Xenopus tropicalis: one gene and its partners. The protein of the gene in region 1 interacts with the protein of each later gene in a biochemical or structural test. Links are inferred from orthologs where the notes say so. Each region holds a gene or a part of one and is shown on either strand. Other genes may lie near its edges.

Evidence for each region.
Region 2: the proteins of snta1 (region 1) and kcna4 interact in a test that uses a peptide from one of them, tested with the Homo sapiens proteins (2 studies listed by BioGRID and IntAct). The link is inferred for Xenopus tropicalis from reciprocal best matches to the Homo sapiens genes SNTA1 and KCNA4.
Region 3: the proteins of snta1 (region 1) and kcnj4 interact in a test that uses a peptide from one of them, tested with the Homo sapiens proteins (2 studies listed by BioGRID and IntAct). The link is inferred for Xenopus tropicalis from reciprocal best matches to the Homo sapiens genes SNTA1 and KCNJ4.
Region 4: the proteins of snta1 (region 1) and slc6a3 interact in a test that uses a peptide from one of them, tested with the Homo sapiens proteins (2 studies listed by BioGRID and IntAct). The link is inferred for Xenopus tropicalis from reciprocal best matches to the Homo sapiens genes SNTA1 and SLC6A3.
Region 5: the proteins of snta1 (region 1) and htr2c interact in a test that uses a peptide from one of them, tested with the Homo sapiens proteins (2 studies listed by BioGRID and IntAct). The link is inferred for Xenopus tropicalis from reciprocal best matches to the Homo sapiens genes SNTA1 and HTR2C.
Region 6: the proteins of snta1 (region 1) and dmd.3 form a complex in vitro, tested with the Homo sapiens proteins (2 studies listed by BioGRID, with this or other methods). The link is inferred for Xenopus tropicalis from reciprocal best matches to the Homo sapiens genes SNTA1 and DMD.
Region 7: of the proteins of snta1 (region 1) and mapk12, one has a biochemical effect on the other in vitro, tested with the Homo sapiens proteins (2 studies listed by BioGRID and IntAct, with this or other methods). The link is inferred for Xenopus tropicalis from reciprocal best matches to the Homo sapiens genes SNTA1 and MAPK12.

What each region holds. Positions count from the first base shown.
Region 1 is NC_030686.2:41,872,652-41,876,151, forward strand, and holds part of snta1 (alpha-1-syntrophin), read left to right. Parts: intron 1-2,033; coding exon 2,034-2,219; intron 2,220-3,500. UniProt on the Homo sapiens protein: Adapter protein that binds to and probably organizes the subcellular localization of a variety of membrane proteins. May link various receptors to the actin cytoskeleton and the extracellular matrix via the dystrophin glycoprotein complex.
Region 2 is NC_030680.2:19,914,104-19,917,603, reverse strand, and holds part of kcna4 (potassium voltage-gated channel subfamily A member 4), read right to left. Parts: 5' UTR 2,973-3,500; coding exon 906-2,972; 3' UTR 1-905. UniProt on the Homo sapiens protein: Voltage-gated potassium channel that mediates transmembrane potassium transport in excitable membranes. Forms tetrameric potassium-selective channels through which potassium ions pass in accordance with their electrochemical gradient.
Region 3 is NC_030680.2:122,426,484-122,430,695, reverse strand, and holds the end of kcnj4 (inward rectifier potassium channel 4), read left to right. Parts: intron 1-826; exon of another isoform or gene 827-956; intron 957-2,053; coding exon 2,054-3,362; 3' UTR 3,363-3,712; downstream 3,713-4,212. UniProt on the Homo sapiens protein: Inward rectifier potassium channels are characterized by a greater tendency to allow potassium to flow into the cell rather than out of it.
Region 4 is NC_030682.2:78,452,512-78,456,715, forward strand, and holds the start of slc6a3 (sodium-dependent dopamine transporter), read left to right. Parts: upstream 1-1,404; 5' UTR 1,405-1,660; intron 1,661-4,204. UniProt on the Homo sapiens protein: Mediates sodium- and chloride-dependent transport of dopamine. Also mediates sodium- and chloride-dependent transport of norepinephrine (also known as noradrenaline). Regulator of light-dependent retinal hyaloid vessel regression, downstream of OPN5 signaling.
Region 5 is NC_030684.2:66,128,631-66,132,820, forward strand, and holds the start of htr2c (5-hydroxytryptamine receptor 2A), read left to right. Parts: upstream 1-1,390; 5' UTR 1,391-1,567; intron 1,568-4,190. UniProt on the Homo sapiens protein: G-protein coupled receptor for 5-hydroxytryptamine (serotonin).
Region 6 is NC_030678.2:107,315,154-107,319,334, reverse strand, and holds the start of dmd.3 (dystrophin), read right to left. Parts: upstream 2,801-4,181; 5' UTR 2,675-2,800; coding exon 2,593-2,674; intron 1-2,592. UniProt on the Homo sapiens protein: Anchors the extracellular matrix to the cytoskeleton via F-actin. Ligand for dystroglycan.
Region 7 is NC_030679.2:71,612,563-71,616,699, reverse strand, and holds the start of mapk12 (mitogen-activated protein kinase 12), read right to left. Parts: upstream 2,801-4,137; 5' UTR 2,434-2,800; coding exon 2,309-2,433; intron 1,775-2,308; exon of another isoform or gene 1,664-1,774; intron 1-1,663. UniProt on the Homo sapiens protein: Serine/threonine kinase which acts as an essential component of the MAP kinase signal transduction pathway.

The DNA of each region.
Region 1 (3,500 bases):
ATCTCCCTCTCTCTTATTGGCTGAGGAATGTCCCATGCTGTTATATTGGTTTGTTTGGGAGGGGGGACACTGCCGGGACTGCCTTTCCTCCCTGCCCCCCAACACCTACTCTCCCTGCAGCACAAAGGAGCGTGGGAAATTTAAGGGACATGATATAGTGTATATTCATGTACCAGAATATTATAGGAATCTTGCATTTTGGAACTTCTTAAGACTTTTAAAGGGGAAGTTAAGCTTGAAATTAATTTTGTTCTGGTTTTATTGCATTGGCATTATAGGCAAAGTCTGAACGCTGAATGTTTTTGTTGGAAAAATGGAGGGTCCGGACTCCGTTTGTGGCGGGCTGCTCACTCAGCCTTACTCTGTCACATAACTGCTAATCCTAAAATAGCAGCGGCTTGCATGTCAGATTTAGCTGAAGCCTGTTGCTGTCTTTCTAAAGGGTCAGCCGCTTGTAGGAAATGATCAAGGACTCACAGTATCCTGGGGCAGAGAGTTGCAGGAAAAATGTATTGGCCTGTGAATGGTGAATGAAAACCTGCCCAACCAATATCTGCCTGCAGATCAGCTGGTTAAAAAATCAGGTGATGACTGCATTGGCATATTGATACCGTTCTCTCCCAGCAGGTCCCCTGAGGCGCTATTTAGGGTCACATTGTTGGGATGGTGGCCAAATCAGGCACAGATCTACTGGTTTGCATAGCAAGCTTTAGGTCCAAACTTTTCTAACGGCAGTGACATGTTTATGGGCTCAGTCCCCCCTAGGCCCAAAGTGTACTAATAGCAGTGCCATGTTTATGGGCTCAGCCCCCCCTAGGCCCAAAGTGTACTAATGGCAGTGCCATGTTTATGGGCTCAGTCCCCCCTAGGCCCAAAGTGTACTAATTGCAGTGTCATGTTTATGGGCTCAGTCCCCCCTAGGCCCAAAGTGTACTAATGGCAGTGCCATGTTTATGGGCTCAGTCCCCCCTAGGCCCAAAGTGTACTAATGGCAGTGCCATGTTTATGGGCTCAGTCCCCCCTAGGCCCAAAGTGTACTAATGGCAGTGCCATGTTTATGGGCTCAGTCCCCCCTAGGCCCAAAGTGTACTAATGGCAGTGCCATGTTTATGGGCTCAGTCCCCCCTAGGCCCAAAGTGTACTAATGGCAGTGACATGTTTATGGGCTCAGTCCCCCCTAGGCCCAAAGTGTACTAATGGCAGTGCCATGTTTATGGGCTCGGTCCCCCCTAGGCCCAAAGTGTACTAATGGCAGTGCCATGTTTATGGGCTCAGTCCCCCCTAGGCCCAAAGTGTACTAATGGCAGTGCCATGTTTATGGGCTCAGTCCCCCCTAGGCCCAAAGTGTACTAATGGCAGTGCCATGTTTATGGGCTCAGTCCCCCCTAGGCCCAAAGTGTACTAATGGCAGTGCCATGTTTATGGGCTCAGTCCCCCCTAGGCCCAAAGTGTACTAATGGCAGTGCCATGTTTATGGGCTCAGTTCCTGTATAGATATTCCCCTGTACTAAGCACAATTCAGCATTAAAACAAATAAGGGTACAGTAGCCCTTTAAGACCATTTACGCTTTAGGCTAGAGTATTACAGAGAAAATAAATTCTTTGGCAAAGGTTGAACTGGGCTGCTATTTCCCTGGAGTTTGTGGAGTCATCTGAAAATGTCTGTTTCTTACATTTTAGAAATGCAGAATTAGAAACAGATGAAAGTGTGACTGGAAAAGGAATATTATTTTTTGCAGATGCTTCTATACATGTAAATGAAAACTCAATCAGAACTTCAGTATGTAACATTAGCCAACATGCAACTGGCATAAAGTACAGGCTGCTTTGTGCCCCATTGCATTGCACTCTCCATAGAGTATGGCCCAAGGAGTAGCCATTGCCTGTATACACGCCTTACGTGTATTGGGGTGCAACGTGTCACTGCCATACCATTTATCTAGGATTGGATGATTTTTTTCCTCTAGTTTAAGTTATGTATTGAAGGAACAGTTCCATACCAATAGATTAATCGACATCTTTTTGTTTACAAGGTGGCCGGGAGAACAAGATGCCCATCCTCATCTCCAAGATTTTCAAAGGCCTGGCTGCTGACTTGACAGGGTCATTATATGTGGGGGATGCAATCCTGTCTGTTAATGGGGTAGACCTGTCAGAGGCTACTCATGATGATGCTGTGCAGGCTCTGAAGAAGACTGGAAAGGAGGTGGTGCTGGAAGGTGAGTAATAAAGGGAGGTTTATATGGAGCAATATGAGGAGTTATAGGGAGGGGTATATGGAGCAATAGGAGGAGTTATAGGGAGGGGTATATGGAGCAATAGGAGGAGTTATAGGGAGGTTTATATGGAGCAATATGAGGAGGTATAGGGAGGGGTATATGGAGCAATAGGAGGAGTTATAGGGAGGGGTATATGGAGCAATAGGAGGAGTTATAGGGAGGGGTATATGGAGCAATAGGAGGAGTTATAGGGAGGGTTATATAGAGCAATATGAGGAGGTATAGGGAGGGGTATATGGAGCAATAGGAGGAGTTATAGGGAGGGGTATATGGAGCAATAAGAGGAGTTATAGGGAGGGGTATATGGAGCAATAGGAGGAGTTATAGGGAGGGGTATATGGAGCAGTAGAAGGAATTATAGGGAGGGGTATATGGAGCAATAGGAGGAGTTATAGGGAGGGGTATATTGAGCAATAGGAGGAGTTATAGGGAGGGGTATATGGAGCAATAGGAGGAGTTATAGGGAGGGGTATATGGAGCAATAGGAGGAGTTATAGGGAGGGGTATATGGAGTAATAGGAGGAGTTATAGGTACAGACTGGGCTTCCAGTCGAATCTATATGAAGTGGGTATAATTAGCACTGTGAGACAGAGTTATAAGAACGGCTGTGCCAGTTACAGAATAACATTTGGGTTAGTTACTAGTTATTGGGTGCCAGTGTATAGATAAACATACTGCTTCAGTTTAACTCTTCCCCATTTCTTCTGTTGAACAAGAATTTTTTCCTGCTTTTCATGGTTCCCGCACAGCTGTTGAGGGGACTGTGCACATTCCAGGGAATCTGGGAGGGGAACGTGGGAGGCATCACTGCAAGGGGAGCAGAGACACGGAGTGAAAGTGCTTATTTTGTACTTACACCGGCCAATTTCCAATCTGACACTGTGGGATCCATTTACTAATAACCGATGTAAACCCATTATGAGTTTTGGTTGAAGGTTAAGCCACATCTAGAGAGGAAATAATAAATCAGGGGTGTTGGAGGGTCCTGTACCTGTTGGAAAATAACAGCTGGGTGGTCACAGGCTAGACAACAGGTGTAGGGCTACAAGCTAAACCCCCTTTTATGTATCTAGTACAATAATAAAACATTATTGCTTTAGAGTTTAAACATTTTATGAATACCTGCTCAATCCTACTTTAATGTTATAGACCTGAAATGCAGAAAGAAATGACCAAACCTGCTCAGCATTAATGGCTGCTCACTTGGGCAAAAATCTAAC
Region 2 (3,500 bases), on another chromosome or scaffold:
AATGGAGGTACGGGGCAGCTGGTTCATTTTTAAAACTGCACAGTAAAGTCAGCATAATTAAGTGTAGCTTAAGTGGAACGAGAATAACATTTTTAGGATTGTTTTTCTCGCTCGATATCTCCTATATTTGTGCTAATCTCATACTGAGGAATTTAGAAAAAGAAAATAAACTGAGAACTTATTTCTTAAAAAAGACTAGTTATCGGAGCACTCTAATGAGTTTAGATATATCAGTGCAGAAACATTGCTTTCTATAAAAATCTATCATTTTAAAATTCTTTAGTCTACCCTTTCTATGCTTGATATGTTAGACATGATGTATATCCGATTACAGAGTATTCCACACATAAGAATTTAGCTCCTTAGCTATTAGGAAAAGCACAAATCGCGTTGCGGTATCAAGATAGGAATCTACAGCAAACCGCTGTTTTCTAAAATTCTTTTGATGTGGAATTCTTTGAAGAATAGACATTTTTGTAAAAAATAAGCAAACGAGTAAACAATGTCATTTTACTGGGTGCCAGGTATTTCTGAAGACACAGCAGTCGTGTACGGCAAAATGCATGCTGTTCTCTTTTCATGGTTTCTGCTTTATATTAAATAAGCATCATGTACCCCTCTCTACTGCAGACTGTCACACTGCAATATTATTATCTATGGATGGACAACTCTCTTTAGAAAAAAAAAAAAAACGAAGCCAGAGAACAGGCACTGCTATTCTTGTAGCATCTGATCTGGTCCCAAGTTTGTAGGTTCTTACAACAGGAAGCCACTATATTTCACACCTAATCAGAAAACTGGCTGTCACATTTCTGATTAGATTTGCATATTTCATTTGTTTTATCACTGCACTCTTCAATGCATAAATAGACTCTGAGAAAGTTCCAAAAATATATTTCACTATTTCACACATCAGTTTCCAGAATTTTTAAATTCACACAGTTATACTTAATGGTCTCGTTGCCATTCCCTGTCCCCTCACTAGCCTTGTCTTTTATACAGAGAGACTCTTTGAGCCCTTCCTCCATTTCTAAGTATTCAGACTTGTCCTGTAGAGAGGAAGAAGTGGAGCTCCTCAACTTTTTCAGCAGGTTGGTGGGTAAGTATGGGCAACTGGAGCTGCTTTGTGTCAACTGTGTTTGTTCTTCATTGTCAGTTTCCCTGTGGTAGAAATAGTTAAAGTTTGAAACTATCACTGGCACTGGTAGTGCAATAGTCAATACCCCTGCTATGGCACACAGGGAGCCTACTATCTTACCCCCCACAGTAATGGGTTTCATATCCCCATAACCCACTGTGGTCATTGTAACAACAGCCCACCAGAAGGCATCAGGGATACTGTGAAAGTGGGTTGTGGGTTCATCGGCCTCTGCAAAGTAAACAGCACTTGAGAACAGAATGACCCCAATGAAAAGAAAGAAGATGAGTAATCCCAGTTCCCTCATGCTGGCTCTCAAGGTGTGACCAAGTATCTGCAGCCCCTTGGAATGCCTGGACAGTTTGAAGATGCGGAAGACCCTAACCAGGCGAATGATCCTCAGAATGGCAAAGGACATGGCCTGTTGTTGCTGCCCAGTCCCCTGGGGAAGTTGTTGCCCTGTGCCTAGAGCAAGGTGCTGCTGTTGAGGGGGATGCTGCTGCCCAAGCTCGGTACCCAGGGTGATAAAGTAAGGCAGAATGGACACAATGTCTATTATGTTCATTATGTCTTTAAAAAATCCAGGCTTGCTTGGGCAGGCAAAAAGGCGCACAGCAAACTCGAAGGAGAACCAGACTATGCACACAGTCTCCACTATAAAAAATGGGTCATTAAACGCAGTGTGGTCTGTCAATAAAAAAGTTGCATTGTATGCCCCGCCCTCTCCATCCTCCCCTGTACCATCATCCCCCATCCCCAGCGGAGACAGCAAACTATCCTTATCGTCCCTGAACTCGGGTAACGTCTCCAAACAAAAGATAACAATGGAGATAAGAATGACCAGCACGGAAACGATGGCGATGCCCCGGGCTGGACCCGAGCTCTCCGGGTACTCAAACAGCAGCCACACTTGTTTCTTGAACTCATTTTCCGGCAGCTGCTTTTCTTCCTCTTTAACGAAACCTTCATCCTCGCGGTATTTTAGCAACGCCTCCTCGCCCAATTCGTAAAACTTGACCTCCTCTGAAAAGATGTCGAAGGGCACGTTGACCGGCCGCTTCAGCCGTCCCCCGGATTGGTAGTAGTACAGGATGGCGTCGAAACTGGGACGGTTTCGGTCGAAAAAGTACTCGTTCCTCAGCGGGTCGAAGTAGCGCATCCTTTTCTCCGGGTCGCCGAGCAGCGTCTCGGGGAACTGGGTCAAAGTTTTTAACTGGGTCTCGAAGCGCAGCCCGGACACATTGATCACCACCCTCTCGCAGCACTCAAACTCACTGTACACAGGGTGATAGCCATCCTCCTTGGGGCTTCTCCTCCTGTGCAGGCTGCCAGCCTCATCCTCATCATCCTCACATAAGTAAAACTTTTGGTCCTCCTCCTCTGACACCTCTTCTTTGAGCATCATCTCCTCAGAGCCACATGGCCCCAGCTCCGAGGGGAAGGTGCCTTCCTCTTCTCCTCCTGCTCTTCCTCCTCCAGCGCCTCCGCTGCATTCGCTGTGCCGGCTCCTCCACCTGTTGCAGCCGCTTAGTGGCCAGTACCTCCGCCTGGCACTTCTCTTTCTCTGCGCTGACTTCTCCTCCTGCTGCTCTTGGCTCTGGGGTGCGCGCCGCGCGTTCCCGCCAGCCCCGCTGTTCCCCTGAGTGGCGGGGGCGCGCCCAGCCCCTTGACAAGCGCCGCCCCCTGAGTTCCCTCCTTCTCCAGCTGCGGCGGCGGCGGCTGCGGCTCGGGAGTGCGCCAGGCGTTCCCGTTCGCGGGCCCGCGCTTGGGCATAGCCGTAAGGCAAGTGGCTGCTACAGCCGGAGCTATCCGCACTCACCATGGCAACCTCCATCTCTGCTGTTGCTGCTCACGGCTTACTGTGCGGCGGGGAGACTGCTGAGTGCTCTGTACCACCCTGCCATGGTGGCTCCCCCAAGGCAATAAACTTATTCAAAATAAATTCAGTGATTTTTAGTTCATTATTACTCATGCAAGGTCATAAAAAAATAAGAATGCAAACACCCTCATGGTCTCAGGGGTAATTCCCCCCCCCTCTGCGAGTAAGGAGTCAGCGCAGGGAGCTCTGTGCGGGCGGAACCAACTGGCCAGAGAAGGGGGGTGCGGGCAGAGAGTAAATGTGCCAGTTTGTAGGGGGGGCCGCTGCCCATAAACCATAGAAATAAAGGTTAAAAATGTGTGGTTGAGCTGCTTTAAAGCAATATTGTGCTGTAGGAAATAGGAGCCAGTGAGTAGATAGGCAGGTTATGTCAGAGTTCAGCCAGATAGCTCTCCAGGTAATTGTTCTAGAAGCAACAACAAGTTTGCAGGGGGGGTTGCTGCCCAAAAACCATAGAAATAAAGGTTAAAAATATGTGTTTGA
Region 3 (4,212 bases), on another chromosome or scaffold:
CTTGGTATGAAACCTCAGAGAGCGAAAATAGGATGCTGTGTTACATAAGATGAGAGAAGTGTAGAGAAGCTGTTAGGGTCCCCCAGCACTGATTTCTTTGCATGTTCTGAATACCCCACTCCACCCAGATGTTAGGTGAAATATGATAAGAGTGTTAATAACATCTCAAAAAGGGGACATTTTAGAGAAAATGCTATGGAATTTATAGGGTTCCAGGGTGATTATGGAAAGAACTGATAGCAAAACAGTCTTGCGGGGAGCCACTTTTACTATAAATAGGGCTACATAAACTGTAACATTCCTGCTATGAAACTACCTTATTGGAAAACAAAACGTGACAGAATATTATCTGGCGCACACAAGTCAGAATCTCATTGTTCCATTCATTTTCAATAAGCTGGAAAAATAAATAAATGAATAAAAAATGTTAGAGAATATCCCCATTGACTTCTATACAAGCTTGTCAGTTTTATTTGCCGAGTTCTCTTCTGGCAACTTTTTGCAGTTACTTCTTTAATAAATCCCGATCATTGGAGGTTTCAGAAAATGAAATGTCAGCTTTTCTTCTCTGTGTTTTTCTTGAATCGAAAAAAAACCAAACTTTTTTTTTGCTAAATTAGCCCCCTAGTGTTCCCAGCTACCTGCAAAGCAGCCTACATGCAATAGACTCACATGTAGATATATACATATATTATAAAAAGTACTCCTTATAGAGCATGAAGTATACTGTATTGCATTATAATTAGAAACTGACATAAACACTGCAGGCAGAACTCATTCATAACCCAGAGTATGGCGTATAGTATATCTGTCCCACTGCACTCACCAGTTGCACGTCAACCCAATCTCAGAAGAAAATCCTCCTGCACTTTGTTTGGTCCTGCTTGTATGGTGGCATCTATGTTTACGCAGCCAGAATAAGATTATGGATAGACAAGGCAATGTAAAATACAGATCTGGAAGAAAAACATGGCAGGTACTTTGAAAATGCAGATTGTATGTGGATTGTATCTCCACCTTAATTGTGAGAATATACTAAATTGTGCCCACTGCAACTTTTCCACCAATATGTATGTATATTATCATCTGTTTTGGTAAACTGGTGTTATGCAGCAGATCATTTTTCCTGCATTTGTGTTCAAATGGTTCCACTTCTGGTATATGGCATAAATAACAGCATTAGCATCTAATTCACTTGGAGCAAATCGATTGCAACTGTTGACCACGGCGGTATTTAGGTGTTTCCCTAGGCACTATCTCCCCCCCCTCACTGACTGGTGCATGCACAGGACAGATCATGCAGCCGTTTTTAGCTGCAGCAGGCTGTGTGTGTAGAATGTTTTTTTTTAAAGTGTAGTTCATATATATATATATATATATATATATATAATTTATATTATACATGTATGCATTGTACTTATATTTATATATAGCTGTCTATATATTTAGATCTCTAGACATATATAGAAATACAACCCTACTATTGATGCAACCCAATAAGGGAACTCTGTAGTTACTAGCGAGTCCAGGATGACAGTAATTCTAGGTTTCCCATGTGTCAATGAAGGCACTTGCATGTAATTCATCAGTGCAGACTGAAGGAGTTTAAATTGCAAATGAACATGTTTAAAAACAAGTACCTTTCTGAATAAGGTAAATGGGTTTTCAATTAGGTGACTGTTTTAGAGCTCATAAACATCATGTCTCAAACGTCTATTAGTTCAGAGAGATTTGAGGAACCAACCTCCACTTTTAGGTTTATTTTTTTTCCTCCCATCTTTCCTTACCCTTTGGTATTGGCTGTGTAGCTCTTCTTCCTTTTATACATAGAAGGATGCAGTTTTAAAACAGAAGATGCTTTATAGTGGAGGATGCCACAGTATACATATTAGATTTACTGTTTTAGTAAGTGTGCCAAGGTGTGAAACCCAACAGTGTTTTACTATTTATAGCATGTCTTACTGGTATTTAGGATCAAATTGTGATATGATAAATCATATGTGCCAAGCCAAAGGTTTGCAACTATCTAATTACTTTTCTTTCTCTCTTGAAGTAGGTACAGCATTGTGTCCACTGATGAAGAAGGCCTTCGCATGCCATCTTTGGGGGCCAATGGTAACTGGACCTCTTCTCTCCACCATCCCCATTCACGGCGAAAACGGCGCAACCGATTTGTAAAAAAGAATGGTCAGTGTAATGTCTACTTTGCTAACCTTAGCAACAAGTCCCAGCGTTACATGGCAGATATCTTCACCACATGTGTAGATACCCGTTGGCGTTACATGCTGCTCATCTTTTCTGCCACCTTCTTGGCCTCCTGGCTATTTTTTGCCTTTCTTTTCTGGTGCATTGCTTTTCTGCATGGGGATCTGGGCACTAGCAGTGGAGTGATAGCCGGGGGTAGGCAAGGACCACCAAAACCATGTCTGATGCATGTCAACAGTTTTGTGGAGGCATTTCTCTTTTCTGTAGAAACACAGACTACTATAGGCTATGGATTTCGCTGTGTAACAGATGAATGCCCATTAGCCATTCTTGCTGTGGTGGCTCAGTCAATACTTGGCTGCCTGATTGACTCTTTCATGATTGGAACAATTATGGCTAAAATGGCTCGACCCAAAAAAAGGGCACAAACATTGCTATTCAGTCACCATGCTGTCATTGCACTAAGAGACGGTAAGCTGTGCTTAATGTGGAGGGTAGGTAACCTTCGTAAAAGCCACATTGTGGAAGCTCATGTGCGGGCACAACTGATTCGACCCTATGTTACCCAAGAAGGTGAATATCTTCCCGTGGATCAACGAGACCTAAATGTAGGATATGACAGTGGCTTAGACCGCATCTTTTTAGTCTCTCCTATTATTATTGTTCATGAGATTGATGAGGAAAGCCCACTCTATACAATGGGTAAAGAGCAGCTAGAGGGAGAAGACTTTGAGATTGTTGTCATTTTGGAAGGTATGGTGGAAGCCACAGCTATGACCACTCAAGCCCGCAGCTCCTATCTAGCTAGTGAGATACGCTGGGGACATCGATTTGAGCCTGTAGTATTTGAGGAGAAAAATCACTACAAAGTGGATTATTCCCATTTCCATAAGACATACCAAGTTCCAGGTACTCCTGTTTGCAGTGCCCGTGAACTACATGAAAGTCGCATTACTGTATTACCCTCTCCGAGCGCCTTCTGCTATGAGAATGAACTAGCACTTTTGAGCCAAGAAGAAGATGAAGATGAGGAAGCAGCTGGTGGCATGCCAGATGAAGGAGTTTTACATGTCATGGGAAGTCACATGGAGCTAGACCGTCTCCAAGCATCAATGGCATTAGATAATATTTCCTATAGGAGGGAGTCAGCCATATGATGCCAGAGATCATTTATGAAAGCTTCCTTACCAGTGTTGGCATGGCTTTCTTATGTCTATGCCATGCAGAGTGTTTTAATAAATTTGTCTGTCTGCAGACTACAACCCTATGAAGCCCTACAAATGTCTGTTCTGAACATATTCCACAAAGTTTGTTCGGTCTTTACAAACAGAAGGTAAATGTGCTGTTTGCAAAAGCCGAGACAATAATGTTCCTGGTGGTCAAATAGTAAGACAACGTGAGAAAGGTCACATATTGAGGACCTGCGGGCTGTTAAACATTGTATTGAAATATTTTGTACAAGTATGAACTATAAATAAATCTTGACTATGTGCTCTTCCAAATTCCACATTTTATACCATTCAGTTTCTTACTAAACATAATTCTGTGCTTAGCTTAGCAGACAAAACTCACATTGTTCTGCCTTTACAAAAACATCTGAAGAAACAGCAACCTGAAGAAAAAATAATTGTAACAAACATGAAGCTATTTATTTGCTGTTAAACCACATCTCCCATCATCCTGTGCATAAGAGGCAGGAAGTAATTGACCATCCAAAGTCTCAGGCCAACGTAATTGTTTCTTTAAAAATAATTTTCTCTTTGCCTGACACTAGAAAAAGGTATAATCATACTTTCTTCCCATATTATTGATGAATAAATAGAATGTACAAAAAATAAATATTTTATAGCTAATTATGGGGAGAATGACAGTTCATCTATGTCAGTAATTAGCAGTATGTCTGTGGTACACCAGGTTTCTTACCTGCATGTAAAATCCATATGGTTTGCTTGAGCAAAAACACCCACTGGAGTAGATGCTGGGAGGGGTCCCATCTTCAGACCCAAG
Region 4 (4,204 bases), on another chromosome or scaffold:
TTATATATATGGGTGCACAACATTAACAACAACAAAACCTGGGTGCTAGTACCAAAAAAAATGCACTCAAACTCGTACAGCACTCCTAGGACCTACAGAATTGTGAACAAAATGTAAATGCAAAAATAGAAAGGTTATTACTCAAGTAATTTTGCATTTTGTTCATAATTCTTTGAATCCTAGGAGTGCTGTTTAACATCTTGATAAAGGTCCTAGACCTGGACCGAAACGTTGATGTTTTTAATGCAACAATAAATGAATTATAAAGGATGAGGAGTGCGCATTGTCAGTTGGAATGAATATGAGCTACAACCATGTGCAGCACCCTTGAATTGGATATGGAGTAAAGTGAGTAATGGGAGTGTGCGGACCTAGTGATACTATATATATATATATATATATATATATATATATATATATATATATATATAGAGCGAGAGAGAGAGAGAGAGAGAGTACCGCACAAAAAAAATGCACTTGAACTCGTACTTTATGAATTATAAAGGATGAGGAGTGCGCATTGTCAATTGGAATGTATATATATATATATATATAGATATGCACAGTCTCTCTCACTTGATTGTGAAGAGGGAAAATAAAACCAAAAAGAAAAAAAATATAAGAAGTTCTGCAGAATGGTGAGCATTCAACAGAAGGTATGCACCAAAAGATCTCTCACATTATCAGGTGCTCGGCTGCTCTGGCTCCACACCAGTGTATGCTGATAAAAAGTTATTGCAACTCTGCAACAGTTGGATATTATAAGTCACCAAGACGTTCCATGACCATATAAATGCATCACACTGAAAGCCAAGTGCATATACGGGTCACAAAACCTCAAAGTGACTTATAACTTCTTATTTTAGAACAGGGGATATAACATTTTATATAATACACAAATTTCAGGTGACAGAAATTAAATCACTAAGAACAAATTATAACTGATGACATTACTCTTTATATGGATAGAATATTCAGGATATTATACTGTATATTGTCACTTATCTGGGTAATTTTAAACACTGGTCATACCCCAGTAATGGGCACTGGTAATTTAGCTGCAGTCCAGTGAATAAAAAAGGACCCATGGATACATGCCCTAAATGCATACCTTTAACTGCTAGCTTACTTTACAAATGTATATTGCTAAAGACTGTACATCCTCTGACATATTACATCTTTTACCCTTAATTGAGACACCACTACATGTTTACTATTTACCAATAAAAAAACCCTTTTTAATTATTTTTTGCTGAAAATTGTGATCCTAAGTCTTGTTGGGGGGGTGGGCAAAAGATTCTGCATCTAAAGTGTGAAATGGCTAGTTAATATCTAGAGGAGCAGGGGGGTTTTGGAAAGGAGAAGGGAGGGATCATGACACCCTGAAGCTGTACCTGCCCCTGCTACAAGTTCTGCCTCAGCAGCTGAAGGATCCTCACTCTGAACAGATGACTGTGCCTCTCCCTGAGCAGAGAGACAGAAAGGAAGATCTCTGAGAGATTCAAACCTTTAATATTCCCACATTCACCTTCTGTTGCAAGGCCAGCCCTAGCGGTGCCAGGCATGCATGGCTAGTGTCTGCAGCTTCCCCGACTGAAATCACTGCCACTGCAGCTTTATCTAACCAAAAGCACTCTTCATGGGCATTCTCTGAATCCAGGTAAGTCCTATTTCCCTAGCAGATACTATAGTTCTCTTGTCGCTATTTTTATTTCATTTCCCTGCAATGTGTAAAATATTCATTTTCAAAACAAATATTCCACAGGGACTGTCTCTTTTCATTTTGACTTTATGGCATTATATTTAAATAATTAATCTAACATATTTTTACAATGAAATATGTAAAATGATATTACTTAGCTAGCAGACACTACAGTAGTTTAAACATAAAGTGACCCGACTTTCTTAAATTATTGCACGTACACATTATTGCACATGCCATCTAGCTAAAGGTGCTGAATATATACATATTAAATAATTCCTTTCCACAAAGATCTGTGAGTTAAGTATAATTGCCTTTTCGGGACACTTTGCTAAATGGAACATCTCACAGGATGAAATAATAATTCTGGTAAAAAAAAACCTGTGTTATCTTGCGCCTCTGTAGAAACCTGCAGAAATGTATTGGCCAGGAATATAACTTTGTTATATTGCGCCAGACTGTGTATAATTACCTTATAAGCAAATCCATTGCTAAGGAAAAACTATCATTTTGTTTTAGGATTTATCAGTAGGTTTTGTATGTTTTTTCCACCACTGACAATAACTAAGCATCTTTTTTTTTCTTCAGCATTTTTAACCTGCTTGTATATCAGATGCAAACCATACAGGGACCTTGTAAAAGTTATTAGAGATAATTAAAGGCATGTATTTATTTCCAGAAATGGTGGCAACAGTGTAAAAAATAGCAGGATAGGTAATACTGTACTTATCTAGAGATTGTAGAAGAACTGTAGCAAAATAAAGCACTTTAAGTGATAAATACAATAAATGATAAAAAGATGAAAAGACATACAGAGAGACAGATAGATAGATAGATAGATAGATAGATAGATGTACTTGTAACAGAAGTTTGTGTATTAAGATAGCATGGGGTACATCATACAATCTGGTTTTTTTTTATTTTGGGAATCATGTTTTACTGAATTGCACATACAAACCCAAAGCTGTAATCCTCTCTGCACCGCACCCTGCTGTACATTCACACAACCCAGAGACGCTAATGGCAGCCCTTCACTTTTTCATTGATTTATAAAATGTCAAGCTGGCAATTTACTTATTCTTTTCACTTGTGTAACATCAAAACATGTATTTTCCATTTGTGGTCAAGAGATGGATAATCGATTCTGAGCTTTTAAGATTATTATTTATTATATATTATTATTCAGGGAAACAATTTGTAGAATCAAGGAACAGTGTTAACACCAGCAAATTTCCAGTTCCCATAAAATTGTAAAACATAATTTACTTTACACCCCACCCTTTTACTAGGATTATATACCTATTTAAATAAACCAAGTACAGTTCAGACATTTAAGGGTGACTGTGATTTTCTGAACAGTATTTAAAATTCCTGTTTGGGCTTTAGAATAATGGAGCAGTACCACATAGGACTACCCTAAATACATCACAACATTCTTATATTTAACAACACATATTAACCCTACATACTATCACAACACCCCCTAATTATTTACACTGAAAGCAGCACCCAATTTACCTTAAATGCCAACACCATATCCTCATATTAACCCCTTACAGCACCCAATTTATGGTAAAGTATACATTAGTTAAATATTTAAAACGTTTTTTAAAAATGTATTTTACTGGTGGTTTAGACTCTTTATTGTGCAGCAGAAGCCAGCTGATTAACAGACCTGTGAAAAAGCATGGTGGGAATTGAAGTCTTGTCTGGAGGAGAGCTAGCTTCTGCTGATGAACTTAGAACTAGCAGTGCAAATGAACATTGCTTTGAATAACAATTACATTGAAAAATAACTTTAAAACCACTGAACATTTTAATGTGTATTGGAGAGCTTACTTTTTCTTTCATTTTTCTGAAAATGTTAAGTTATAGTTTTTATTTAATGTATTTTCTTTCAAAAAAAACAACAAAACCAAACAAAAGGTCCCATTGGTCCTATATATATATTATCAACTCAATTAATGTTTACTCTACATAACAGCAACCTTTTCACCAGCACCATATTTAGCCTAAATAATAACACAATCTTCCTAATTAACAGCACTAAATTCCCTTAAATGCAGCAATCACTATAAAAAAAGCATTATAAAGTATGCTCATTTTCAATACCAGCGCCATAAAAATTCAGGTTAAATATCAGTACAATACCATAAACAGCAAACATTGTATTAAGCCTACATTATGGCACCATATCCCTTTCTTATTATTTACCCATGTAACAACTCGTTTGCTTACAAAATAAGCTTACATAAAAGTATCCTATTTTCTTTACTTAACAGAATATTTCACTCAACATAACAGCACTCTAATCAGTATAAATGTAAATATTTTCTCTGTTCTAAATAACAAAATGGCATTCCTCTTTTGTTTTTCCTATACACCACAATCTTTACCCTTAGCAGCATTATAATCACCCTAATTATTCATTTTTATATTCTTTATATTCGCTGTTTATGAAAATCTATCCTGTTATATATTTTTATTACCACACTTTTTTCT
Region 5 (4,190 bases), on another chromosome or scaffold:
TTGTGTGAACAATTTTTTCTTTGCATTGAAGTAGTAAAATGATACGCTGTTGATGCATACTGTATATTTCATATTACTTTCTACTTTATAGAACTGGTGGTTTTTACCTGCAACAAAGTGTCCATGGGATTCTGTTTTATATAAATAAAATTTAAAGGCATATATTCAAATTTTACACTTAAAATGCAGAATCTACAGAAAAAGATTTCTTCCAAGTGAACCCCAGCACACACACATAGACCCATTCTGACCTATCTATACACTCACAAGCATAACCTATATATACCAACATTAATACTAACTGTAGATATTAGTATCACAATAGCCTTGGATATTATGCTTGTTTAAGAACTCATCCAGGCCCCTCTAAAAGGCATTAACAGAATCTGCCATCACAACATCACTAGGAAGGGCATTCCACAACCTCACTGACCTCACCGTGGTGGTTACCTTTCAAATGAAAGTTCTATTCCTCTAATCTAAAGGGGTGGCCTCTAGTGATGAGCGAATCTGTCCTGTTTTGCTTCACTGGAAAATTATATTTTTTGACACAGGCAACAATTTTTTGACACGGGCAACATTTTTGCCACCCATTTCACAAAATAATTCACCAAAATCGAAACAAGGAAATTCACCACAGATCCATGCCTGGCAAATTATTTCGCTCATCACTAGTGGTCTCTGCTGCAATGATCCTTTTTATGGGAAAAAAAAACTTTTCCTAACTGTCTATAATCCCTGTACTTGTACAGAGTAAATCATGTCCCCTCGCAAGTGCCTTTTTATCCAGAGAAAACAACCCCAACCGTGACAGTCTAACCTCATAGTTTAAATCTTCCATCCCCTTAACCAGTTTAGTTGCACGTCTCTGCACTCTCTCCAGCTCATTAATATCCTTCTTAAGGACTGGAGCCCAAAACTGCACTGCATACTCAAGGTGAGGCCTTACCAGGGACCTATAAAGAGGCAAAATTATGTTTTCATCCCTTGAGTCAATGCCCTTTTTGACTCAATTTATATTATTTCAACCAAAGTACATAACTTTGCACTTTTCAGCATTGAACCTCATGTTCCATTTTGCTGCCCAGTTTTCCAATTTTGCCAAATTACAATGCAAAGTGGCAGCAACCAATATGTACATGTAGATTGCTGCTTTATACAGAAAAAAAACCCAAACCATTTATATAGAAAATGCATGTATTTAACTGATGCTTGCTCTGCTGGAAAAACTCTATTAACTGATGCATTTTGAAAAGAGTATTTCGTTAAACACTAGCCTTGTCTTTTGTTAGCCTTCACCCAAGTTCAACACAGTGTTAGCAGCAATAAGTTCTTTATAAAAATGTTATTTCTTTATTTTTCACTCTTTGTTTTCCATGTTTTAATATCTAGGATCCAAGATTCAAACCAAATCCATATAGAGGAATAACATGAACATTCATGTTTTAAAGGATGTCAGAAGGATTGCTGTTCATCAACATGTTCCTTAATGGAATATACAGAAAGCATGCAATGCTGGTGGCCCTAAGAGACAACTGCCCAAAAACATCAGTGGTTATTCAGCAAGGTACTTCTTTTTGAAGGAAAATCAAAAGTTTAGTCATCTGTGTTTAACCATACTGCTAAGCAAAATTGCTATTTTAGATTTGAATTACCTTTACCTACTTTTAGAAAGCTTGTTTAAATTATGCATTAGAATCTACCAAATTTCTTTAATGAAACAGTGTACAGTGTATAACCTTTAGCAGCACGGACAATTATGCTAAAATATGAAGGAAGTGAAGACTTTTTAACCACGTAAGAAGACAATACTAAGGCATTTTACATTGGGTAGCTGATGTGGGATATGCACCCAGGAAGTAAGTGATTCTGTATGACCGCTGGCTTCTATCTGTAATAGGTAAACCATGAACTACATATTAGCTGATGCAGGATCTATGAATGCAGGTTGGTCTGTTATCTACAACAGATACTTTAGTGTTGTACTGTATATATGTATGTATGTATATCTTTATTTATAAAGTGCTATTTATGTACACAGCACTGTACAGTTGAATAGATTAGCACAAAGTATAACAATAAATACAAGGTACAGTTGCAATAAGTTAAGAATCAAAGATACAAGAGGATAGAGGTCCCTGTCCCATAGGGCTTACAATCTAAATGTGTTGCTGTGATATGTAATGCAGCCATATGTTCTTTAATGATGTTCTGATGTCACAGGAAAATAGAGCAGCCAAAATATCTCACTATAAACTTCAAAATATAACTAGCAGTATACCCAGAGATAGGTTTTAAATAGCAGAAGATCAAGTTCACTGAGATTTCAATATGTTCAGATGTTAAAAATGTCATTTCTAATTTTAGTGTTGATTGGCCAGGAGTATACATTGTTTCATGTCATTATTGTCATGTTATTATTTATTCACTGTAGTTGTTTAATGTCACATAATATAGTATATATTCTACTTTCTTTTCTGCACGGTGTCTCCAATCCTATGTAGTATTTTGTTTGCTGCTTATTTATTTTTTGTACACAGCAGAGAACTCTAAACCTCTCTCCCAGTTGATGCTTTCTGTCTAGAAACAAAGTACTAAATTGAATTGAAACAAGAAAATAAAGAAGAGGAGAAGCGAGACCAGTCAGAATGTTTTGGGTGGTAGGATTAATAAGGTTAGGAGCAAGATAAGGCTATAAGAAAAGACCAGGCTGGTGCATATTTAAAGGTTTAATCACATGATTCAAAAGTGAGCAGGCTGAAGTATATGGAATAAACGGACGTATAGCGATGAAGTCTAAGTTAAAAAATTCCATGGATGCCTTGTCAAGCCTGTAATATCTAACCAGTATTCCTGGTGTAATCACCGCCAGTTATCATGGAAAATGTATAATGGAAAGTTTCTTGCTTAAAGAATCTCCATAGATTCCTTACAGTATCTTGTCCACTGAAAGAGAAAACTCCTTATGTTCCCCACTTTGTGCAAGAATTCCCAGGATTTTTTTTGAAAAGCCTTGCAAAATGTGTTCTGCCCCCCTTCTCCCATGTTGAAGTAAATATTGTAAGGGGATATGATGACTGTTGCAACTTACGTGACAGTAAGTGACAGTGGGAGCACAAGCACCACAGTCAATAAGCAGGAACAACCTTGTGACATTTGTGCTTTGATGAATTAATAATTCTGCAAAAATAATATTTATAGAGAACTCTATGCAGGGCTGGAAATGAGGGTAGGCAGGGTAGACACACAGGGGCACATTTACTAATCCACGGACGTCCGAAAGCTTCCAAATGCGTTTTTTTCATGATGATCTGTATTTTTGCAATTTTTTTTCGTCGCCGTAGCAATGTTTTTGTATTTTGCGCGACTTTTTCATCCCCGTTACGACTTTATTGTATATTTTCTGCGACCTTTTCGTCGCCGTCGTGAAAAATTCGGATTGGTTTTTCCGCCATTTACTATAGTGAAATATGAAAAAATTGTGGCGGCGACGAAAAAGTCGCGCGAAATACGATAAAGTCGCGACGGCGACAAAAAAGTCACGCAAAATACGAAACAATCGCAACGGCGACGAAAAAATCACAAAATTTTTGTTTCCAATCCGATTTTTTCTCATTCGGGATTCGGATTCGAGGATTAGTAAATGTGCCCCACAGAGTAGGGAAATACTAAGGGGGGACGTAATTTGAAAAAAAATTTGACTGGTACCTTTAACTCCTACTGCCAGCAGGTGAGTGAGGGAGTGGATGTGGAGTCACTGGATAAGCAAGTAAAGAGGGAAACTGTTGTAATGGGTGGTATGGGAGTCAGCAGTCAGGGTCAAAAGATACTTGCCAGGTGCCAGTACCTCTTTTCCCATCTGTGATTCTAGTTATCGACCTCTAGCCTGTTACTCACTATCCTGACTGCTGTCTCTCCTGGCCTGTGCTCCAGCTTTACATTATGATTCTGCCACACCATTGGGATCTGGCTTTGTCTGTTCCTTAGTACCAGCTTCAGTATTGTCCCATCTTTTTGGTTCTGGTTGCCTCACAGCCTGGATACCTGGTCAATTGTGTTCAGTGTAACTAGGGGAAATGAAATAGATCTTATTTTGCTACAATGATTCTATTTAGCCAGTTACCTGGCATGGATCATATAATATATAAACATATTTGTTACGCATTAATATTGTTAAAGCGCTAAATAAT
Region 6 (4,181 bases), on another chromosome or scaffold:
AAGTACAATGCTACGCTATATACCAGATAAATCCCATGGAACAAGGGCATGACACATTTGGGTATTTCCTTTTCATGACCTTTTTACAATGCTGGACCTTTTCCTGCCAACAAATGCACCATAAGGATTTCAACTTTCTTTTTTAAGGTTAATATTACAATTACTGTCCTGGTCATATCCCAAATCCTGCCCAGGTGGGAGTCCAGATTGCTAACCCATCCGAGCAATGGTCTATAAGGTGAAATTACATTTCCATTTTAAATGTACATTTTAAAATTTACATTTAAATGCTAATATATCTAAAAATTTTAGCCACCTGAGATCTGGTAGGTTTCAGGATGCAAATAATTTTAAAATGAAATATTCCCTAGTTCACCTTCTAAAGTTACCCACTGGAAATGAGATGAGAAATGTGCTTCTTAGGCCACAAAGCTATGTTCAGACACTTCATTTTCTAATTGAATGTCACATGTTTTAGGGGTGCAGGTAACTTAGGTAGTCCTGCCAAAAAATCAAAAACAATCCATGTGTGGATTTACAAAAATCCAGTACTTGCACAGTGTTACATAGCCACACTGTATTTATAGTATGAAAGGATGCATAAATGACAGAAGTAAAACTTTTGACTGAAAATAAAAGATATTAAACCTACATAATGCAAACTACAATTCTAAAGTTAAATTGCAGTTTTGGCTTTTTAATAGTACATAACATAGTAACTGTGCAAGCTAGAAATGTGCAACGTATCACCATAAATCAAAATGTAAAACATTGCTTATATATTTCCTTCCATGAATGCCTACATTAGATCCTGAACTGGGCTGGGTGTGGTGAAGTCCTTCAAAAGCCTGGGTTACTAATGTAAACAGTACTCCACTCCAGCCTACTGAAGGATTTTGATTACCCAGGCACATCATGTACAGTAAGTGACTGACTCTCAATGCTTATGTTGGGCATCAGGGCTAGTTCCTACAATGCTTTGTGAATCTCTATCTTTGTGGGTCCGTTAATCACAGAGTGTGCAAGACATTGTAGGAATTGGTTTCACAGATGAAGGTGCTGACTACTGTAACATTGTTTCAATGATACATGTAGCAAGAATCGGACATGCAGAGAATAGCAAAAAAACAGCAAAATACAGCATTGAATAGTAAATATGCTTGACATAATTAAAAATGTGTCAGGATTGTGGAAAGTTTCTTAAAATTCAATTTGATTTAATTTGTGCAAAAAGTTATAGTTGCATTTACAACCCCTTTAAGTTTACTAGAACAGAAATCTAAGGCCAAATGTTTGCTATGTGCTATAGTTCAATCATGCACACGTAGCTGCATACTTTTCCTATTCCTCAGTTCCACTGCTAACATTAACCTTGTAGGTTTCCCTGTTCAAGATCTGATAAACAGGGTGTGGCTATGAAAGGCTGAATGCTGGCCAATATGTTTGCATTCCCCCAATTAATTGTCAGTACATCCTGTGTCTAAGCCAATTTTTGTTGTTGTTCATTCTGGATACAGTTTTCAATCTGAAATAGTTTTTATTTGAATTATATTTTTATACTCCTCCATATATATGTACAGCCTTTCAGTGAACATGTGCACTTTCCACCTATAAATCTCTGTTTTAAAATACCTCACACTCCCTGGGATTTATGTCAACTAAGTGTGAAAGCCACTGTTGAATAAACATCTGAACACATGTGAGTGTCAAATAGGCTGGTGAAGCGTGCTTATAATGTATTTAGTATATCTGTACCGTATATGTGATCCTACGAGATTTGGGACGTATTTCTAGCACTTACCATGCTATGCATTGCATGAACTTTATTCAAGTCACAAGTTCACAAGAGTAAAATGAGAGCGGTGTACTTGTAAGAGATTTACTCTTCCCCACAGCTGTTAATTTTTCTCCCCCTATTACAGTTCATCTGAATGCATTCACTATGTATGAGCAGTAAATTTAAGATAGCCATGAAAGTGCTATAGTACATTTTTCAGCCTTATATAGCATGCTTAGTGAACTTGTAAATAAACTAAACATTGAATGGTTTATAAATTACTATGCTGATCTACTTCCATAATGAAGCTGAGTGAGGCATGGCAGCTGAAACAGTATCTTATGGGAAAGCAATGCAGTCGCTTCCATTTACAGCTGTAATGACCTGCCCCATTACACAAATGGCATAAAGAGCTGTCAGAAAATTGGATACTACACAAAGGCATGGGAAGTCCCTTTTATAGTTATATATACAGCCAGCGTGTATTTTTTCTGCCGATAAAACACATTTTTTTATCAGCAGTTTATTTTTCTTATTATTACTTTTATTGTAAATATTTTTCAATCACAAATACTGTGATTTCTGGGCTGCACATAAAACCCAAAAGGCTTTAAAAGATCTTTAAATGATTACTGCAAATGTTGCTGCATTAGTAAGCGAAATGTCAGAATGACTTAAGTAGTATTGCACTACAGCAGACACTTGTAACTGGAAGCTTTGCTGCTAAATATCTTACACAGTTCATATCACAATAAAGCCAGATTTATTATTTTTAAGTTCCCACACTGAAGTAAAGAAACTAATATTGACATTACCGGATCTGTTCTTGATCATATCAGTGAACTCATCCGCAGCAGAATCTCCTCTGGGCTCCTCTTGATATCCACTTTCAGCCATAATGTACAGAAGCTCTCACTGACGGGCCTCAAAGCTGCAGAATAAACACCCAAAGTTTTTGGTAGTCTTACTTCTCTCTCAGCAAAGCAAGTTACTCTAGAGAGTTAGGTAACGTGTTATTCCCACTAAAGCAGACAGCCTTTTAAAACTGCAAATAGTGTCTGCATTGGAACAGGAGAATAAACTGTCAACCCCACAGATCAGAGAAAACAGGTGCTGATCTCTGTTCTTCCTTAAAATAGAACTAGCCCCGTATAAACTACAAGAACATGAATGTGGAGTAGTGAATATTAAACCTGACACACTATAAATCAGCATCAACTTGTTGATTCTTGAAACTGTTTCCGTAGCTTTGCACAATCAATACAAAGACCCATAAAATACCAAATTACCAAACTATACTCAGAGGGAAAACATAATTTAGTTATATCTCACTTAGTTGCTTGCAGCTGAAATATCATGAGTCTGTGTTCAATATATACTGTATTCCACAAGGGTGGAAAGGATGCCAAAAATGTCAATCTCTTTAGCCAATGCAGTTTGTTTTGCAGTTATGTCTAATAATGTGCAATCATTTTCTAGATGCAGAAAAGAAAAACAAAAAAACAGATCAAGTGCTGCTCAGTAATTAGTAAGGGTTGTTCCTTGCTTACATAAGTAGGGGCAGACCGTCACCTTCAAATGTTCAGTTGGAAACTTTTTTAAAGATCAAAAAGCTTAGATGTGTGTGCTGTTTTATTTTTAGCAGCCCATTGTACTGGAGACAGAAGAAAGGTTCAGTAGGGAAATTGCCTTCATTAATTGTATTGATGAAAAAAGTCCAAATACAGCGCAGCACTGGTCACTAGCAATAAGCAATTTTTTGCAGACGAATTTCCTCATTTTGCCTTTAGATAATACTTTGCAAAAGTACCGCAAATATTTGCAGCAAACATTTTTTTGCTGTGAAAAAGTCACCTTTTCTACACAGAAAAGTCACTGCGGAAAAACGCCACTAGACTCCAATGTTTTCTGCATGGAAAAAATAGCTGTGAAAAAGGTTGCAGCAAGAAATCCGTTTCATGAATTTTCTCATTAGTAGTGGTCTAGTTTTTTTTTTTAACTTGGTTTAGTCATAATTGAATATACTGTATCTGACAGACAATAGTCTCCCATGACACCCATTTTAGTGGCAGACAGCACCGTGGGTACAGTATGTTAAAGCTCTAGGCTTTTGCTAGATATGGTGAATATATACAAGGATAACAATGCAGAGTAACTCCTTTTTTCCAGCTTGTATAACTACTATTTACCTCTCCTTCTTCTCCTAAATATGCAGGAGATATAACATAATGCAGCACTCTGCAGAAGTTGTCATGTTCCAGAGACTGACGAAAAGGAATGAAAAGAATGAAAAAGAATTCACAGGAAGCTGATGTCATTATAAATCTAAAGGACTCAATGGAAAGCATTCTAGGCCTGATGCCATTTGATCCTGTGGAATGATACTATATAACCTTTGTAATTA
Region 7 (4,137 bases), on another chromosome or scaffold:
TAACTGTAGATATTAGTATCACAATAGCCTTGGATATTCTGCTTGTTCAAAAACTCATCCAGGCACCTCTTAAAGGCATTAACAGAGTCTGCCATTACCACATCACTAGGAAGGGCATTCCACAGCCTCACTGCCCTCAACGTGAAAAACCACCTACGCTGCTTCAAATGGAAGCTCCATTCCTCTAATCTAAAGGGGTGACCTCTGGTGCGTTGATTGTTTTTATGGGAAAAAAGAACATCCCCCAACTGCCTATAATCCCCTCTAATTTTGATTATTATATGATTTGAGGAGGGTATACGGCAGGGGGTCTGTTAGCCTTGCTGAAAAACACCCAAACTTGGTTAGCCATTTCCCAATAAGTGCAGCCTGTTTAACTAGGTACAGGATCCAGTCAACAAAATCTGTGGAAATAACCTAAAAATAAAAATCCTTTAAAGACATTACACATTAAAAGATACAGTTTAATAGGGGCAATGTCTGCCAGTTATTTTGAAGTAATAATGTCTCACAGACTGATCTATGCAGACCTTGAGCAGGCTAGAGTGGGTCATAAAAATCACTTGGAGACAGTGGGCCTCCAGTTGGTCTGTCCAGAGCTAGAAAATATGCATAGATATTTAGTAATAAGCCACTTGAAAGTGCCGTGTAATAAATAGCCATCATCCATTGCTGCTTTTTCCTTTACACTCTAGCTCTGCCAGAAGTTTCCCATTGACCTAAATGGGAAATTCCATAAAAATAATGGTGGTGTTAATTATGAACAGGCAGTGTAAAATAAAATTAAAGCCTTTATAAATGTGTCAGTTATTTTACACTGCTTTTTAAAGTGTTTTCAGAAGTAAATAAACAGTCCCTTTGTGTTGCTTTTTTATAGAATGCTAAATATGGTTCTAGCTGCCCAATTCTGTCAGCCAGGGGACATTTGAATGTTACCTGGACCTGACCCTGCTCGGTTGCAACAACAGTTTGGCTTGTTCTAAATATGTGAAATAATTAATTCTGTAAAAGCAGAAAATCAGTTTTTCAACAGACTTAAGCAAAGGGAAATTGTGAACAATACAGTACCTTATCCTTGGTAGCATTGCGGTGGCTGTAAAATGTTACAACTCTCTACATCTGCAGTAAGGGCATTAGTAACTGAACAAAGAGAACTACATTTTAGCTTTAAATTAATGTTTATGTACTAAATTATAAAGATAAAATACCCAGGGAACATACTATTTATTGCTAATCCCCACGGTTTTATAGACAATTACTCATTTCAAACATTTGATTAAACTACAAAATGCTCTATGATGATACTCTCACATAATTCAGTGCGACAGGGCTTAGATTGTAAATGGTATAGAGGCATATTTCATCTGCACCATTTTACAGTACTAAACCCGCATAAAACATGTAAAGTTTGTGGATATTTACCTTAGTGATATAGGAATCATGCAGGAATCATATAAACAAGGTAATATGCCTAGAATTCTCTATGCAGCAAGGAAATGTTATATAGCAAAAATGGAACACAAAGCTATGCCAAGTGCAACACAATACAACCATCTGGTGGCTCATAACCCTTTGGTAGTTGGTCAAGGGGTAGTGAGGTGAACATTTAAGACATGACAGACATGCAAATAAAACCCCAGAATTGTAAAAGGGATGTCTTTACCTGCATGTTCACTGCACAAATGTCACATGGGTGCCATAATCATGGGGTATAGCTATGGGTCTATACACACGGGGGTTTGTACCAGAGCCAGCAGCATTATTGAAATCATGTCTGAAAAGACAGAAAAACAGGGAACAATTTCCCTATGGAGCAATCTACACTGCCACTAGACAATTAGTGCCAAAAAATATAATTTACTTGTACTGAAATGCTCTATAGAAATGTGACCTATTTTTTAGCAATGCTGTGCATGTATAGAATACCCAGCTTGTACACAAGCTATTTTTGAGCTTGGCAATTTGTGTTTGTTCTTGTGTTTGTTCCATTTGCCAATAGAGACATAATACAGCATTTTAGGTCCAGCAAGCATTTTTGCAAGCTGAAGGCAATATAGCTGGCAGGTATAGAAACTTATGTAGAGTACTATGGCAATATCATTTGTTTGTGCCAGTTGAAATCGAATACACTGCATTATACAAAACCCTAACTCACAGTACTACAATGATATAGGACTCCAATGCAGTCTGCAGGGGCTGGCACACATATGGCTCCGCTCCTGTGATTCCTGGCACAGATTACACAAACCCACAGGTGTTGGTCCAATGAATGATAACTTTCATGAATATTTGGAGCATTGCAACTTACCAAACAGTGCCATAGGCTCCTGATCCCACAGCCACCAGGTCTCTGTACCTCTCCTTCACCTCCCAGACGGTCTTATTGACGTCCTGCCTATAGTATCCCTTCTTGGGCAACGGGGAGGTGGACATGGCTACTAGTTGCCAGCAGGCTCCTGTTGCACTAGTACTATGTGAATGTGGGTCCCAGGCAGAGTCACCTGACTGCTGATACTGGGCGGCTCTCCTGAGAGGTACAGTAATGTCACGGTGAGCAGTACTGACTTGTCCTGCTCTTATTCACCATGAGGGACCGGCTGCCTTCTTTACGTAGAACAGTCTCTTCCGACCAGCCCCTCTTTCTGCGTCTTCGCTCTTCGGTCAGCTCTCGCCTTCCACTTTCGTTTTCCTTTTGTCCACTGTGCGTATTTCCCGCACCCTCAGCCTGCACAGTAGCTGCCCAGTGACGGGAAGTATTTCCCATATAGAGCCCGGAGCTTTGTGCCGTCACGTGACCCGGCCAGTCCTTCTCCCCTCCCTTCTCCAGTGCGCAGATTAGTACTTAACCCACTCACTGCTCTAGTCCGACACAGTCCTAAAGTGATTTGGGAAGTTATGTGGCCGGGAATTCGCTCACACGTTCATACGTGTTATGACCCTTCGCTACAAGAAGACGATCTTTGCATTATTTTTCAATGTGAAGCTTTATGACCTCTCTTGGCATGAAGTGCCATTATTCAATTATTATTCAATAACCCACTGCTACTACTAGGCAGTTCAACCTAACAAATTCATTCTTCCCCAATGGGTTTTTATCAGACTCGGTTTACATTATTACTAATGCTTATTTGTAATTATTATTTGTTCGTCTGTGAAATTAGATTACACAGTTGTAATATCTCAATGTGGCTGTAGTCCCAGTGTACCAAATCTAGAACAGGCTTTTGTACCTGTAAATTTAAATTGCCATTATTAAAGGCCCCTGCTGAGCTCCAAATAATCTTGGGGCAAAAGAGCCAACTCAGCCTATTGTTATGCTCCTATAAATGCAACAGACTCTTTTGACACAATTACAAGCTATAAAAGGTCCCATTGTAATATTAAGTAAGGGTGTAGCTTAGTAGCTAAAAGGGTTGTGACCATAATGCTGGCAGCAGGGGCCTAAGGGGACACAAATAATATATTTTCCCATAGAATAACCAAAAATGCAGATTAAATGAGATATTTAGTAACGCCACATGCAAGGGTCAAGGAATATTGGTGAAGGGGTTGGATTAATACTTCCTGGTCAGCAGGGTAATTAAACCATAGCAACCAAATAACAGTCAAAACTCTAAGCCTGACAGCTGCAGAAGAAACTATAGGTTTTAATGACCTATCATTTCCCATTAGGGACCAGGCCCAGCCCCAAGGGAGCATGATATTCTTGGATGCTGTAGTGTAGTTTATACATTATATTCATGTGCAGCACCCTGAACAGACAGGTCCTGCATGCAACTTACACTATTTATATAGTGTTTGAGATGCAAGATTAAGCACGCCTAAACTCATGTGCGATTTGATTCAGCTTTATTTTGCCTGATTGTACCCGCCTGCATCAGGATCTGCATTTTAGCACAGCTGCGTTACAATGTATTTCCTTAAACACAACATGCTGCATTTTTATGCCTTTAACATGCCTTATAATTCAATCAAACAGTTGTCAAAAAATATGTTTTTATTTATTCAAGAAGTTGTGTGTTTATCAAGCTGGGTTCAAATGTGTTCTGTAAAGTTTAGAACTGACAACTCCTATGAATGAATAAGAATCTTCCTATATACTGTTCTTCTTCAGTGACTGCTATGAGATGGAGCATC